2 linked regions of the Stegostoma tigrinum genome follow. The protein of the gene in region 2 purifies or fractionates together with the protein of the main gene of each other region. This does not show direct contact. Links are inferred from orthologs where the notes say so. Each region holds a gene or a part of one and is shown on either strand. Other genes may lie near its edges. The genes, in order: ubiquinol-cytochrome-c reductase complex assembly factor 2 and ubiquinol-cytochrome-c reductase complex assembly factor 1.

Region 1 (8,978 bases), on a different chromosome or scaffold from region 2:
TAACACTCTCTGAATTGTTATATTATGCAGAGTGATGCATAACTAGAATAAAATGGCACATTTTGTATGACCAGCTTTAGAGGATTACAGGCTTGCTCGGAAGGAGCTCAAAAGTGGACTGAGGAGGGCCAGGAGGGGACACGAGAAAGGCTTGGCAGGAAGGATTAGGGAGAACCTGAAGGCATTTTACTCATAATGTAAGTAATAAGAGAATGATCAGGGAGAAGGTAGGGCCGATCAGGGATAGCGTAGCGAACTTGTGCGTGGAGTCTGAGCAGATAGGGGAAGCCCTAAATGAGTATTTTGCTTCGGTTTTCACTAAGGAAAGGGACCTTGTTGTGAATGAGAGCTTTGGGGAGCAGGGAAACTGGCTTGAACAGATCAAGACTGAGGAAGTTGATGTGCTGGAAATTCTGGCAAACATTAAGATTGATAAGTCCCCAGGGCCAGACCAGATTTATCCTAGGTTGCTCCGGGAAGTGAGAAAGGAGGTTGCTAAGCCGCTGGTGAAGATCTTTGCTTCCTCACTCTCCATGGGAGTCGTACCAGAAGATAGGAGGGAGGCAAATGTTGTTCCTCTTTTCAAGAAAGGGAGTAGGGTAATCCCTGGAAATTACAGACCAGTCACTCTTACGTCTGTGGTCAGCAAGGTTTTGGAAAGAATTCTGAGGGATAGGATTTATGACTATTTAGAAAAGCATAGCGTGATTAAAGGGAGTCAGCATGGCTTTGTGAGGGGCAGGTCAGGCCTCACAAATCTTATTGAGTTATTTGAGGAAGTCACGAGAAAGGTCGATAAGGGTCGAGCAGTGGGTGTGGTGTACATGGACTTCAGCAAGGTATTCGATAAGGTTCCCCACGGCAGGCTCATTCATAAAGTCAGGAGGTATGGGATACAGGGTGATTTAGCTGTCTGGATTCAGAATTGGTTGGCTGACAGGAGGCAGAGAGTGGTTGTAGATGGCAAATATTCTGGCTGGAGATCAGTGCTGAGTGGTGTCCCACAGGGGTCTGTTCTTGAGCCTCTGTTCTTTGTAGTTTTTATAAATGACTTGGATGAGGAGGTTGAGGGGTGGGTTAGTATGTTTGCTGATGACACAAAGGTTGGAGGTGCCGTTGATAGTATCAAGGGCTATTGCAGGCTTCAGCAAGACATTGACAGAATGCAGAGCTGGGCTGAGAAATGGCAGATGGAGTTCAACCTGGATAAATGCGAAGTGATGCATTTTGGAAGGCTGAACTTAAATGCTGAATATAGGATTAAAGGCAGGATTCTTGGCAGTGTGGAGGAACAGCGGGATCTTGGTGTTCAAGTGCATAGCTCCCTCAAAGTTGCTACCCAGGTGGATAAGGTTGTTAAGAAAGCATATGGTGTTTTGGCTTTCATTAACAGGGCGATCGAGTTTAAGAGCCGCGAGGTTATGCTGCAGCTCTACAAAACCCTGGTGAGACCACACTTGGAATATTGTGTCCAATTCTGGTCGCCCTATTATAGGAAAGATGTGGAGGCTTTGGAGAGGGTGCAAAGGAGGTTTACCAGGATGCTGCCTGGACTGGAGGGCTTGTCTTACGAGGAGAGGTTGACTGAGCTTGGACTTTTCTCTCTGGAGAGAAGGAGGAAGAGAGGTGACCTGATCGAGATGTACAAGGTAATGAGAGGCATTGATAGAGTCGATAGCCAGAGACCTTTCCTCAGGGCAGGGCTGACTGCCACGAGGGGTCATAGTTTTAAGGTGTTAGAAGGAAGGTATAGAGGAGACGTCAGAGGGAGGTTCTTCACCCAGAGAGTTGTGAGCGCATGGAGTAGTTTACCAGTGTTAGTCATGGAAGCGGAGTCATTCATGACATTTAAGCTGGACATGCACATGGACAGCAGTGGATTGAGGGGAATACAGGTTAGGTTATCTTATTTTTGGATTGGGATTATTCCACGGCACAACATCGTGGGCCGAAGAGCCTGTAATGTGCTGTACTGTTCTATGTTCTGTTGATCAAGGTATCTGAAACTTTCAGCCAAACTGCCCAATGTATGATTTCTCAGGTTCTTAATGGGTTGTGACTCTCATTTTATCAGTATTGCTTAGATAATGGTGGACTTGTAAAGAAGTGTCACCAGCTAAATGTGGTCTATCTTTTGGTGTTACTGGACTGACGAATAATGGATGGTGAGATCAGCAGAATTGATGCAAACTTGTGTTATGACCAGGTGATGAAATGGCTCCTCCCTTTTCTCCCTCCTTGTTTAATCGTGACAGGCATTTTTTTGTTTAAAAATGGTTATTGTTGCCAAATCTGATTACTTAACTGTTTACATGTTATCATAAAAGAATTAATCGACTTAGTTTCTTGAGTTCAACAAATACAGAGATTAGTTTTGTTCTACTAAAACTGACTTGGGAAAATAATAATAAAATATACTTTGACTTCCCACACGCGCATGTACATGCACTTGAAGCTCAACACACAAGATTAGAGGTTAAACAAAAACTAGGAGTGGGATTTGATCATTTAGGCTTTTGAGCCTGTTCCTCCATTCAACATGGCCAAAAATCACACAACACCAGGTTATAGTCGAACAGGTTTATCTTAAGACGCAAGGTTTTGGAGACTCACTCCGTCTTCAAATATCTTCAAATAAACCTGTTTATACAAACTATAGCCTGGTGTTGTGTGATTTTTGACATTGTCCAGTCCACTACAACAACAGCACCTCCACATCATTCAATATGATCACAGTCGATCCTCTAACTTAATTCCATATTCTCATTTTATCGCTGTATTCCTGATGTCTTTAAAAGTGAATCAGGTTGACAGGGTGGTTATGAAGGCATCCAGCACACCTGTCTTCATTGCTCAGGCCTTAGAGTAAAAGAGTTGGGGTGTCATGTTGAAGTTGCACAGGATGTTGGCGAGGCCTCTTGCGGAGTACTGTGTGTAGTTCTGGTTGCTCTGCTGTAGGAAGGATATTATTAAATTGAAGATGATTCAGAAAAGAGTTACTAGGATGTTGCAGGAATGAATGGTTTGTGATATAAGGAGTGGCTGAATTGTCTGGGACTTTTTTTCACTGGAGCATGGGAGGTTGAGGGGTGGCCTTATAGAGGTTTACAAAATTATGCGGGGCATTGATAAGGTGAATAGCAAGGATCTTTCTCCTTGGGTGGGAGAGTTCAAAACTGAGGGGCATACTTTTCAGGTGAGAGAAGAATTTTTCAGTAAGGACATGAGGGGCAACTTCTTCATACAGAGTGGTTCGATTGCGGAAATGAACTGCCAGAGGAAGTGGTGGATGCAGGTACAGTTACAACATTTAAAAGACATTTGGACAGGTACATGAATCAGAAATGTTTGGAGGGACATGGGCCAAAACACAAGCAAGTGGGACAAGTTTAGTTTGGGAACGTGGTTGGCGTAGACTAGTTGGACAGAGGAGTCTGTTTCCATACCATCTCTATCTTTTGTTTGAATATATTCAGTGATTTGGCCTCCACCGGCTTTTCACTAGTCCACCTCTTATCCTGAGACTGTGTCCCCTGCTTCTCGACTCCTCAACCAGGGAAAACATCCTCTGGCATCTTGTCTGTCCTGGCCTGTTAAAATTGCATACACATCAATTAGATTTTTCTCATACTTCTGAACGCTCTGATTACAAGCCAAGTTAACAAATTTCTCATACAGGCCAGGGGAGGATGGCCAAATTACGTGGAATGTACAATAATGTATAATAGATGTGCGCATCTTGCTAGTTAACATCTTTTGTTTAAACATTTTTTTTAAATTTCATGTGTCCATCTGATAAAGTAAAAGTCAATATTAAATATAATCATGTTATATTTGATATACACCTTGATACAACTTGATTTAATTTGTGTTTTCCTTCTGTCATGATCACATACCAGCTTGGGTTTGATGGGATAGATGAGGTTTCCTCTTCTGGTTGCTGGTTCCTCTTCTGGTGCAAAACTACAATGCAAACAAATGCAGAAACTTGTGCAAACTCCTCACAAAAAAAAATCCCTGCTTCAGTGGCACTTGTATTCACATGATTTACAATTCAATTAAATGGTGTAAATGGGTGACAAATCCATGTTACTGCTGGGATGACTGGTGACTACAGACTCCAGTGGACAATTCTGCATTGATGAGGGCATTCCATTGTGTCTAAAACATACAGAAAATTATCTGTTGCTTTAAATAAAAACAGTGCTGGAGAAACTCAGCAGATCTGTCAGCATCTGTGAGGAGAGAAACAGAGTGGATGTTTCGAGTACGATATGGCTCCCTCCTGGTCCAGTGGGCAGCAGGAACTGCTATAACAGGATGCTTAGGCCAGCCACAGCCGTGACCTGCATCGCGCCTTAGTAACATCCATCTGATAACCTTGTAGCTGTGTGAGGTTCCTACGAACAGACGTTCCGCTTTTTTCTGCATTTCCAATACACCTAGCAGGTTCTGCAAGCTGTTTAGCAATCAATCCAGATCTAGGACACTCTGAGAAACGTGACAGGAGATGCAGTAAACATCGAGTGAAAAAAAAATCTAATTTCAAAACTTGTACTCTGACTCCTGCAAATGATGCGAAGAGTTGGTACAGACAGCACAAGGGTTCTCAATGATTGACAGCTCAAACAGCACGATCTCCTCAGGCGGAACAGGCTACCGGGACCGCACATGCGCACACCTGCACGCGCCATTTTGTTGGCTGTTGAAGGGTCGGTGCCGGCAGAGCCGGTGAAGGTGTTGGACAGTGGCCGGTGTGGCCCTCAGGAATGGCTGCGACCCGGTATCGCCGCTTCCTGAAACTCTGCGAGGAGTGGCCTCTGGATCAGACCAAGAAAGGCCGAGACCTCGGGGCTTTCATCCGCCAGAAAGTGGCGCAAGGTTTCCGAGAAGGGGAGAGCTCCCAGGTAAAGCGGAGGGGTTAGGGGGTCGGAGGTGGGGGGGGGGGGGTGGGGGGGTGGCGGAAACGGGCCTGGGGTAGGGGGTCGGAGGTGGGGGGCGGGATATGCATAAAGCAGTCTGTGTCCCGACTGTATTAATTTCCTGCAAAGGTTATAAAAAACATGCACTAATGCATTGATGAAGGTTATGTAAGCAAAGTGCTAATGATAGGAAAGATCTTGTAAGAATCTCTTTCAGGGCTCATATGGCACGGTGACACTGTCCCTATCTCTCAGTGTCCTTCTTTGCTGGCTTTTTGCTCACTCAACATGAAAATCTAATTACACTGCTGTCTCTCTCCACAACTTGTTCTTTCTCTGATTCAAGCAACTATTTATTTTCCCTCAAAAGATATGTAGAACATAGAACAGTACAGCACAGAACAGGCCCTTCAGCCCACAATGTTGTGCCGACCATTGATCCTCATGTATGCACCCTCAAATTTCTGTGACCATATGCATGTCCAGCAGTCCCTTAAATGACCCCAATGACCTTGCTTCCACAACTGCTGGCAACGCATTCCATGCTCTCACAACTCTCTGCGTAAAGAACCTGCCTCTGACATCCCCTCTATACTTTCCACCAACCAGCTTAAAACTATGACCCCTCGTGCTAGCCATTTCTGCCCTGGGAAATAGTCTCTGGCTATCAACTCTATCTATGCCTCTCATTATCTTGTATACCTCAATTAGGTCCCCTCTCCTCCTCCTTTTCTCCAATGAAAAGAGACCGAGCTCAGTCAACCTCTCTTCATAAGATAAGCCCTCCAGTCCAGGCAGCATCCTGGTAAACCTCCTCTGAACCCTCTCCAAAGCATCCATATGTACCTGAACTATACATAAATAATGTCACTTTTCAACTCTGCCTCGTTCTTTTTGTAAGCATTTACTTTACTAATTCCTTGTCACTAACTCCCTTACCAGGCAACTTCTTTGCCCTTGGTCCTATTAGTTTATCAAATACTTTTTCCCCTATGAAAGAGACTGTTGCAGACGATTTCCAATCAACCTGTTTTGAGGTGTTATGACTCACCTTTGGAGCAGGTGGAACTTGAATCTAGGACACTGAGAGATAGGGACAGTGTCACTGTGCCATATGAGCCCTGAAAGAGATTCTTACAAGATCTTTCCTATCAGCAGCTTGCTTACATAACTTTCATCAATGCATTAATGCATGTTTTTTTGATAACCTTTGCAGGAAATTAATATAGTCGGGACACGGACTGCTTCATGCATATCCCAATTAACTACCTTCCAACAGTTGCCTAGATTGCAATTGGAGCCACTTTGAAGATGCAGGGTCTGATAACTTTTTTTTCCTTGCCTGATGCTTGAAATATGGAGACCATCATAAGAACCTAGGAAGTAGCAAACTAATAGTCAATTTCTCATTCCCAAGTAAAACAGTGGGAGTAGCAGCAATGACAGTCTAGCTGAGGTCTGTCTAACTATGATTAATGGCATATCGTTTATCATTTGGCCTTTTACAATCCCAACAAATTCATATCAGTGAACAGAACCTGAGTTGCAGGCATCATTGTAACTATTGTTTGCCTGTGTTCCACTTTCTGAGCTTCAGACCACTTGGCAAAGAAATGATCTTGCTCTGTATAAGTATTATATTTCTGATGTCACGCAGAACGGATTTCCTTTTTTCTAGCTTGACATTTTCAACAATTTTTACAATCCATTTCAGGAGAACGTTATTTCAAAGGTCTTGGGGTTTTAGGGTTGCAAGTCATTTTTATTTCTCCGCTGAAATTAAATGTTTCTTCAGTAATTTATTTGTTTCAGTATCTTGCTGCCAATTCCCCAGTTATTGGAAAGTCTATGCTAACTTTGGTTCTTAGAAAACTCCTTTCTCTGTTGTTTATATTTGTTTCTCCACATCCCAATAACTGTAGTATTTGACTATCTTAGCAACTGAAATCTTGGTGAAAAATAATATGTGAAATAGCTACCACTATAATTTCATCAGACCTCCTAATTTTAATTATTTCCTGCAGCTAACTGGGTTATCTACCATCTCCTCCAGTTTTTATTTTGTCATGGTATATATTGCATAATACAGAAATTAAATTCTACAGTGGCTGTTTTCGTGTGCCAGGATTTTTAATTTGCCATTTTAATTGTAAATTGATAGAGTAGATAAAACCAAAATGATATTGAATCTGTATTTGATCAGCTTAGAGAATTCAATTGAAAAACAAATGGAGCTACAAAAAGCTGGCTTTTTAAAAATTTCGAATGCGTGTTTTCCTGTCTCTATTTCAATGTACCAGAAAATTCACTGCAGTACTTTGAATTTTAACAGTACATAATAGTATACTATTATGATAGGTTAACAAAATGGAAGGGATTTCATAACTTAAAAGACTTAGTGTTCACGTATTTAACTACATGCAGTTGTCAACTGATGGGAGTTATGGAAGCTTCGTGATTATTGGAGTTTGACAGTTTAAATCCAATCATGACATGTTGTGAACTTGAATGTAGAAATGTGGTAACTAACATACAGGCTGCCAGCAGAAAAGAAACATGATTGGGAGCTGCCAGATCTAATTTTTTAAAAAAATTACCAGATGGTCCACTAACACATTTCAGGGAGAAACATGCAAGCTGAGTCTGCTCTGGTATGTGTGATTCCAGATTGCAGTTGATTTGTTACCATTGGGTAGAGAGCAATGGACAATAAATATTGCCTTGCCAGTGTATGCAGATAATATAGCATTATTGATACGCTATTAATGGAAAGGATGGTAGACTTACATTTCTATTAGTTCTTAGCTGCCTTTAAATTTCAAAAGCAGTGACTTAGAGGAGCAATTAGTCAACTTTAAGGTTGTTATGTTGGAAATATTCACTAGATCTTGGGTGTAAGGACTCCTCGGAAATCTTAGCATTCACCTAAATGCTCAAAGCCAACGGACTTGTTAATGTCTGAACTGAACAATAATCAGACAGTGCAGCAATACTACAGTACTGCTGTGAAACATCAGCCTAGATATGTGAGCATGAGCATATTTGGAACACACTGTCAACTTCCTGCCAATTCTGCATTCACTTCAATAATTTTTATCTGCTCTTTGTTTTAAATTGAGAAACAAACTTGCTCTTTATACATGACTTTTGCTGTAGAGTCTGTTGTTCCAATCTGGAGAACCAAGGATAAGAGACCATAACCTCAAGATAAGGGGATATCCAGTTTGCGTTGAAATGAGAAGGTTCTCCCCTAAGAGAACTTGGAATTCTCTGTCCCAGAGTTGTGAAGACTCAGTTATTGAAATATTCAGGGCTTACATCACTAGAGTTTTCAACTCTTAAGGGAATAAAGAGATACGAGATTCAGTCAGGAAATTTAAATTAGTAAGACCATAAAACATAACAGAAATAAGCCATTCAGCCTATTGAATCTGCACCGTCATTCGTTGAGATCATGGATTAACTGATAATTATCAACACCACTTACTTCCCATTTACACAACTCCACATTCTCTTACTAATTAAAATGCCTCTCAGCCTTGAATATGTTTAACGATCCAGTCTCAGCAATTCTCTGGTTTAAAAAAATTCCATGGATTTAAAACCCCAGAGAGAATTCACCCTAATCTGTCTTAAAAGTGTGACCCCTTAATTCTCCCACAAGAAGAAACAACCTTTCCACGTCTTTTCCTGCTCCTCTGCTGCCTGGTCTGCTGTGAATAAACTTAAAGCTGATCTGCCTCCAAAATGCAGGACTTGCCAGAGCAAGACGTGGAAAGAGATAACAGTTCCACCATATGTTATCTCTTTCCATGTCTTGTTTTGTCAAGTCCTGCATTTTGGACGTAGATCAACTTTAAGCTTATTCATTAGTGGAGCAGTCTTTAGGGTCATGTGGCCAACTGCTTCTATTTGAGTTATTTAGTAAAATATCTTGAATTTTTCCCTCAGGCTTAATTTAAAGTAGACATAACAGAGATATTAAGTGGGCTGAGTAAAACCCTAGCCAAAGTTGTAACTTTGAAAAGGATTTTAAAAGATGGAGTGAATTTGAAA
Region 2 (8,683 bases):
ACACACCCCCGTCCAACCACCCTCACCCTCTCCCACACACCCCCGTCCAACCACCCTCACCCTCTCCCACCCCCACCGTCCAACCACCCTCACCCTCTCCCACACCCCCCCGTCCAACCACCCTCACCCTCTCCCACCCCCCCGTCCAACCACCCTCACCCTCTCCCACACCCCCCCGTCCAACCACCCTCACCCTCTCGCACTCCCCCCCGTCCAACCACCCTCACCCTCTCCCACACCCCCCCGTCCAACCTCCCTCACCCTCTCCCACACCCCCCCGTCCAACCTCCCTCACCCTCTCCCACACCCCCCCGTCCAACCTCCCTCACCCTCTCCCACACCCTCCCGTCCAACCTCCCTCACCCTCTCCCTCACCCCCCCGTCCAACCACCCTCACCCCCCCACCTCCCCCTCTAACTACCCTCACACCACCCTAACCACCCATCCAACCACCCTCACCCCCCCCAAACACCCTCACGCCCCCCTCACCCCTCCTCCAACCACCCCCACCCCCCCTCCAACCACCCTCACCCGCCCCCCAACCACCCTCACCCTCTCCCACACCACCCCTCCAACCACCCTCACCCTCTCCCACACCCCCCCTCCAACCACCCTCACCCTCTCCCACACCCCCCCTCCAACCACCCTCACCCTCTCCCACACCCCCCCTCCAACCACCCTCACCCTCTCCCACACCCCCCCTCCAACCACCCTCACCCTCTCCCACACTCCCCCCCTCCAACCACCCTCACCCTCTCCCACACTCCCCCCCTCCAACCACCCTCACCCTCTCCCACAACCCCCCCTCCAACCCCCCTCACCCTCTCCCACACCTCCCCCTCCAACCACCCTCACCCTCTCCCACACCCCCCCCCCTCCAACCACCCTCACCCTCTCCCACACACCCCCCTCCAACCACCCTCCCTCTCCCACACACCCCCCTCCAACCACCCTCACCCTCTCCCACACACCCCCCTCCAACCACCCTCACCCCCCCACCTCCCCCTCTAACCACCCTCACACCACCCTAACCCCCCATCCAACCACCCTCACCCTCTCCCACGCCTCCCCCTCCAACCACCCTCACCCTCTCCCACACCCCCCCTCCAACCACCCTCACCCTCTCCCACAAACCCCCTCCAACCACCCTCACCCTCTCCCACACCTCCCCCTCCAACCACCCTCACCCTCTCCCACACCCCCCCCCTCCAACCACCCTCACCCTCTCCCACACACCCCCCTCCAACCACCCTCCCTCTCCCACACACCCCCCTCCAACCACCCTCACCCTCTCCCACACACCCCCCTCCAACCACCCTCACCCTCTCCCACACACCCCCCTCCAACCACCCTCACCCCCCCACCTCCCCCTCTAACCACCCTCACACCACCCTAACCCCCCATCCAACCACCCTCACCCTCTCCCACACCTCCCCCTCCAACCACCCTCACCCTCTCCCACACCCCCCCCTCCAACCACCCTCACCCTCTCCCACACCCCCCCCTCCAACCACCCTCACCCTCTCCCACACACCCCCCTCCAACCACCCTCACCCTCTCCCACACACCCCCCTCCAACCACCCTCCCTCTCCCACACACCCCCCTCCAACCACCCTCACCCTCTCCCTCACCCCCCCCTCCAACCACCCTCACCCCCCCACCTCCCCCTCTAACCACCCTCACACCACCCTAACCCCCCATCCAACCACCCTCACCCCCCCAAACACCCTCACGCCCCCCTCACCCACCCTCCAACCACCCTCACCCTCTCCCACACCCCCCCCTCCAACCACCCTCACCCTCTCCCACACCCCCCCTCCAACCACCCTCACCCACTCCCACACACCCCCCTCCAACCACCCTCCCTCTCCCACACACCCCCCTCCAACCACCCTCACCCTCTCCCTCACCCCCCCCTCCAACCACCCTCACCCTCTCCCTCACCCCCCCCTCCAACCACCCTCACCCCCCCCACCTCCCCCTCTAACCACCCTCACACCACCCTAACCCCCCATCCAACCACCCTCACCCCCCCAAACACCCTCACGCCCCCCTCACCCACCCTCCAACCACCCTCACCCTCTCCCACACCCCCCCCTCCAACCACCCTCACCCTCTCCCACACCCCCCCTCCAACCACCCTCACCCACTCCCACACACCCCCCTCTCACCACCCTCACCCTCTCCAACACCCCCCCCTCTCACCACCCTCACCCTCTCCAACACCCCCCCCTCCAACCACCCTCACCCTCTCCCACGCCCCCCCCCTCCAACCACCCTCACCCTCTCCCACGCCCCCCCCTCCAACCACCCTCACCCTCTCACACACCCCCCCCCCAACCACCCTCACCCTCTCCCACACCCCCCCTCCAACCACCCTCACCCACTCCCACACACCCCCCTCTCACCACCCTCACCCTCTCCAACACCCCCCCCTCTCACCACCCTCACCCTCTCCAACACCCCCCCCTCCAACCACCCTCACCCTCTCCCACGCCCCCCCTCCAACCACCCTCACCCTCTCACACGCCCCCCCCCCAACCACCCTCACCCTCTCACACGCCCCCCCCTCTCACCACCCTCACCCTCTCCCACACCCCCCCCTCTCACCACCCTCACCCTCTCCAACACCCCCCCCTCTCACCACCCTCACCCTCTCCAACACCCCCCCCTCTCACCACCCTCACCCTCTCCAACACCCCCCCCTCTCACCACCCTCACCCTCTCCAACACCCCCCCCTCTCACCACCCTCACCCTCTCCAACACCCCCCCCTCTCACCACCCTCACCCTCTCCAACACCCCCCCCTCTCACCACCCTCACCCTCTCCCACACCCCCCCCCTCCAACCACCCTCACCCTCTCCCACACACCCCCGTCCAACCACCCTCACCCTCTCCCACACACCCCCGTCCAACCACCCTCACCCTCTCCCACTCCCCCCGTCCAACCACCCTCACCCTCTCCCACACCCCCCCGTCCAACCACCCTCACCCTCTCCCACCCCCCCCGTCCAACCACCCTCACCCTCTCCCACACCCCCCCGTCCAACCACCCTCACCCTCTCGCACTCCCCCCCGTCCAACCACCCTCACCCTCTCCCACACCCCCCCGTCCAACCTCCCTCACCCTCTCCCACACCCCCCCGTCCAACCTCCCTCACCCTCTCCCACACCCCCCCGTCCAACCTCCCTCACCCTCTCCCACACCCTCCCGTCCAACCTCCCTCACCCTCTCCCTCACCCCCCCGTCCAACCACCCTCACCCCCCCACCTCCCCCTCTAACTACCCTCACACCACCCTAACCCCCCATCCAACCACCCTCACCCCCCCCAAACACCCTCACGCCCCCCTCACCCCTCCTCCAACCACCCCCACCCCCCCTCCAACCACCCCCACCCCCACCCCCACCCCCACCCCCCCCTCCAACCACCCTCACCCCCCCTCCAACCACCCCCCCCCTCCAACCACCCTCACCCCCCCTCCAACCACCCTCACCCACATCTCCCACCCTCACCCTCCCCACCACCCTCACCCTCCCCACCACCCTCACCCCCCCCCAACCACCCTCACCCCCCCCCAACCACCCTCACCCTCCCCTCCAACCACCCTCACCCTCCCCTCCAACCACCCTCACCCTCTCCCACACCCCCCCCTCAAACCACCCTCAACCTCTCCCTCACCCCCCTCCGACCACCATCTCCCCCTCCCTCACCTCCCCTCCGACCACCATCTCCCCCTCCCTCACCTCCCCTCCGACCCCCCCACCCCCTCTCCAACCACCCTCACCTCCCCTCCGACCCCCCCACCCCCTCTCCAACCACCCTCACCCCCTCTCCAACCACCCTCACCCTCTCGTCACTCCCCCCCCTCCCCCTCACCCCCCCTCCCCCACCCCCACCCCCTTAACCCCACTCACCAGGGGGAGGCCACTCATACCCCGCGGATCTAAAGGACTGTCCTTCCCTGTCCCCAGAGTCTCACGCCGCTTAGACCGGAAATGGTCCGCCCCGCTTTCTGTTCCGGGTCCCCCCGCGGAACAAACATTCCGCCCTGGGCCGGGGAGCGTTGTTGACCCGGACAGGGACAGGGATCCTGGTGGTGGAGAGAGCCCGGGCTGCCCCTGTGCTGGGTCTGGGGTCTGGGGTCTGGGGGCTGGGGGCTGGGGTCTGGGGGCTGGGGTCTGGGGGCTGGGGTCTGGGGTCTGGGGCCTGGGGGCTGGGGCTGGGATCCGGGGTCTGGGGGCTGGGGGCTGGGGTCTGGGGGCTGGGGTCGGGGTCGGGGTCTGGGGGCTGGGGGCTGGGGCTTGTGCTTGTCTTTCAGGGAGAGCTCTCACCCGGGCCACCATCACAGCCCCTGACATTGTCTGCTGCCTGTAACTAGAATAGGAAATAAACAGTTCCTTTAGAAAGACAATAAACCAGAAATTGTCCCAGAAAACTAACAGAGATGAAAGAAAACTGTGAAAATATTTCTGCAACCTTTCAAAACCAAAATTCCTCGTTTAAAAAACATGTTAATTCATTTGTACACGTTTGTGTCCACTGCAATGAAACACGTGTGAAATGAATGGTCTAAGAGAGATCACAAAATTCTTTAAGCATGAACTTATTCGTTAAGGTTATGGTAGACTCAGATTCAAAATAAGAGTATTAAAATCATAAAACCATTAAATAAAACCGTGATCTTGGATTCATGTGGTGCTACACGTTATCCCACTACACTTCTGTGTCTGTGAAATATTCCATACTGTACTGTTTTGACACCTTCACTTTGATAAATTGTTATGATCTCTCTAATTAGTTTGTACAGTTTTGGAATACTTATTACTTTGGTTGGACCCTTTGACACACAACTCTTCCATCTATCATGTTATTCCAGTCGTTTGGTTTGTCTCCAGCACCACCTTGTTTTTTTTTGTAACTATCTCACTGTCTTGTTTCATCAGATTGCAGGTCATCCTTTCACTTTCTATTCAGCTGTTGACACTTTAAACATTGTCTGACACTTGATTACCCGCAGAGACCTACTATTCGGCCTGTTGACGCTCCACTTGCGCCATTTGTATGATCTTTTGATCTTCTGCCCATTGATCTCTCCACCCATAAATTCTGTGCTCGTGTGATTCTGTCTCACTTCACCTGCTGAAGGAGCAATGCTCCGAGAAGATTGTGATTTCAGATAAGCCTGTTGGATTATAACCTGGTGTCAAGACACGATTTCCCCTTGTGAGGAAGGGTCACCGGACCAGAAATGTTAACTCTGATATTTTTTCATGGATGCTGCCAGACCTGCTGAGCTTTTCCAGCAATTTCTGTTTTTGTCCCTGATTTACAGAATCTGCAGTTCTTTCAGTTTTTCTAACCTGATGTTGTCTGACTTCTGACCTTGTCCACCCCACTCCAACAGTGGCACCTCCACATCCTAGAATTATATAGTTCCAAATCAACCTGTAAGTCTACTGCCAGAAATACATGATCACCTACACATAATACAACTGAGAGATACTCAGGACAGCAAAGTGTAATGTTCATAGTTTAATAAGGTTCTATATAGGTTATTAACATTTTTATTGCTATTCACAACTGCACGGTGCGTCCTGAATGTTGAGATTTTCAACTGAGTGTGATTTGCCCCAGGCACTATGCCATGCTTGACGCCAAACTAGCTGTACACGTTCTACAGGCCACTGGAAGTAAAAACAAGGTGTCAATTGTAACTGGTTTCACTAGTTGAAAAGTCTCCCTCTTCATGCTGACTATCCAAGTGTTTTTGCCTTTTAATACATGAACTGAACCATCGTGGATGTTTCCCGCATTGTTCAAGCCCCTACTTAGTGGAGGGATATCGTGGCTGTTAATCACACTCTATTGATAAATTGGAACCACAAGGAACAGTGAGAATATGGTTTAGAAGGATAATATTTTAAATTAATGGCCGTCCTTCAGAAACTATTACCCCCTTTAAAATTGTTTGGAGTGTCTCCAGGCAGGACAGTCTGACGCTTACTCAGAAGGAAAACCCTAGGCTGATGAATGACACAATGAAATAAAACAAAGAGCTGTGGATGCTGGAGATCCGAGACAAACAAAAACAGAAATTGGTGGAGAAACTCAGCAGGTCTGTCAGCATCTGTAACAAGAAAACAGAACTTCAGAACTATGGTAAGTAATATACATTGGTCTGCCTGGTCTTGTGTGCTTCAAAATGTATGACCAGGATGTTCATTTCTAACTATTAATGTTTTTAACTTGCTTTTCCCTCCGTGGGCTGGGGGTGAGGGGCAGCAAGCACAAATTAGAGAGCAATTAATATCTAGCCGAAGTGAGTTCCTCAGAGGCTGGCAGAATTTCACATTTTGAAAGTTTACTACTTGAATGACCTGCAGTGATCTACTCTTCTGAATGAACTGCAACAAGCTGACTGAACATAACTGTATATAAAAGTTGTTAAAATAGAACAGCTTATTTCAAGGCTTATTGACTGAGTAGATTGGGATTATATTCATTGGAATTGAAAATATTGAGAGTGGATCTTATAGAAACATATAAAATTATGAAGCGAATAGATAAGATATAAGTAGAGAGGATGTTCCCACTGGCAGGTGAAGCTAGGACAAGAGGGCATAGCCTCAAGATTAGAGGGAGCAGATTTAGGACTGAATTGAGAAGGAACTTCTTCACCCAGAGGATTGTTAATCTATGGAATTCCTTGCCCAGTGAAGCAGTTGATGCTACTTCAGTAAATGTTTTTAAAGCGAAGGTAGTTTTTTTTTGAATAATAAAGGAATTAAGTGATACGATGAGAACATGGGTAAGTGGATCTGAGCCCATGAAAAGATCAGCTATGATCTTATTGAATATCAGAGCGGGCTCGAAGGGCCGAATGGCCTACTCCTGCTCTTAGTTCTTATGTTCTTATAGACCAGATTCATGTCATCTGGCATCACAGTAGCATAGCTCCATTTGTGCACACTCGGTTAATCAAATAGATCTCATTTCCATTGTTTTTGGATGAAATCATAGTCCCAGTGCTAACAGATTTTGTACATTTCCCTCCCCACCCCATCTGTTTTTCGTAGGCTCTGTGCTCTCTGCAAATCGCTCATCCGCTCCACACTCCCCACTAACCCCCAGTACTTTTCCCTGCAACCGCAGGAAGTGCTACACCTGCCCCTACACCTCCCCCCTCAACTCCATCCAAGGCAAAAAACAAAAGTTCCACATTACACAGGAGTTCACCGGCACATCCGTCAACTTATTCTACTGCATCTGCTGCTCCTGATGTGGCATCTTCCACATCAGTGAGACCAAATGGAAGCTCAGAGACTGTTTTGTAGAGCACCTGCACTCTGTACACGACAAACAACACCTTCTAGTCACCAACCATTTTAACTCCCCCTCCCAATCCCTGGGCGACATGTCCATCCTGGGCCGCCTCCAGTGTAACAATGATGCCACCCGCAAACTGGAGGAGCAGCACCTCATATTCCACCTTGGGAGCCTACAACATGATGGCCTAAATGTGGATTTAATCAGTTTTAAAATCTCCCCACCCCCCAACCTCATCCCATGCCCAACCCTCCCTCTCATCCCCGCCTGCTTGACCAAACACAACCTGCCTGTCTTCTCTCCCACCTGCCCACCCTCCCACTCGACTGACCAATCCCCACCTCCCCACCTATCACCGTCTCACCTACCTTCCCCAGCACCACCCCTCCTCTCTCTATTTATTTCTGAGCTCCCCTCCCCTCCCCATTTCTGAAGAAGGGTCCCAATCTGAAATGTCAACTTTCCTGCTCCTCTGATGCTGCCTGGGCTGCTGTGTTCCTCCAGCTCCACACCTTGTTATCTCTTGTTCTCTGTTTTGTACATTTCACCTCCTTTGATCTATTTTCTGCTGTTTGCATCTACCATTAACACATTATTTTGATCCATATCCCTCATCTATTAGCATTCCCTTTGGCTTTTGCTGTGGGCACTCTCACTGCTTGTTCCATTTTCTCCTCCTACCTTTTTGTAACTAGGATATTAAAAAAAAATTTCCAGCCCCCTTCAGTTCCCAGAAACTTTGAAACATTAACTCTGTTCACAAATGCTGTGTGTCCTGCAGAGTTTCTCCAGCATTCACTCGGACAATGGTCAGGTGATCACAGATCAAAACTTTGTCCTTTTTAAAAAGACGTCAGGTCTTAAAATCAGATGTTAGGTTGAATGTTGATAGTCCATATTTGCTGTTATCATAACACAATAAAGTAAATTTGTTCTTGGTCTGCAGGGCTGCTCTCTCATTAGTCAGGGGCTACTGGTGGTGCTTTAATCTGACAGTCACCACACTTCAGATGATGAGAGATGTTGAGAAGGAGATGCCTTTATGGTAACCACAACTTGTGTGGGATTTGAACACACACTGTTGGTGTCACTCTATTGTGCAGCAGCTGTCCAGTCAACCGAACTAACTCAGTGGCATGCTTTTTGGATGGTTGGTGCACAATTGATGGGCCGGATGGCTTCTTTCTGCACTGTAGGGATTCTATTTTATGATTAAAGTGGCTCATTATATCAGTGCATTTTTTTCACATTCATCCATGGGATATGAGTGCTGCTGGCTGGGCTGGAAATAATTATGTAATTGTCTTGGAAAGGTGGTAGTGACCTGCCTTCCCGAATCACTGCAGTTGATT

The links.
Region 1: the proteins of ubiquinol-cytochrome-c reductase complex assembly factor 1 (region 2) and ubiquinol-cytochrome-c reductase complex assembly factor 2 purify together in Homo sapiens (co-immunoprecipitation; 3 studies listed by BioGRID and IntAct, counting the BioPlex papers as one, with this or other methods). This does not show direct contact. The link is inferred for Stegostoma tigrinum from reciprocal best matches to the Homo sapiens genes UQCC1 and UQCC2.

What each region holds. Positions count from the first base shown.
Region 1 is NC_081374.1:28,864,987-28,873,964, reverse strand, and holds the start of ubiquinol-cytochrome-c reductase complex assembly factor 2, read left to right. Parts: upstream 1-4,667; 5' UTR 4,668-4,769; coding exon 4,770-4,907; intron 4,908-8,978.
Region 2 is NC_081372.1:7,935,110-7,943,792, forward strand, and holds the start of ubiquinol-cytochrome-c reductase complex assembly factor 1, read right to left. Parts: upstream 4,047-8,683; 5' UTR 3,938-4,046; coding exon 3,920-3,937; intron 1-3,919. UniProt on the Homo sapiens protein: Required for the assembly of the ubiquinol-cytochrome c reductase complex (mitochondrial respiratory chain complex III or cytochrome b-c1 complex). Involved in cytochrome b translation and/or stability.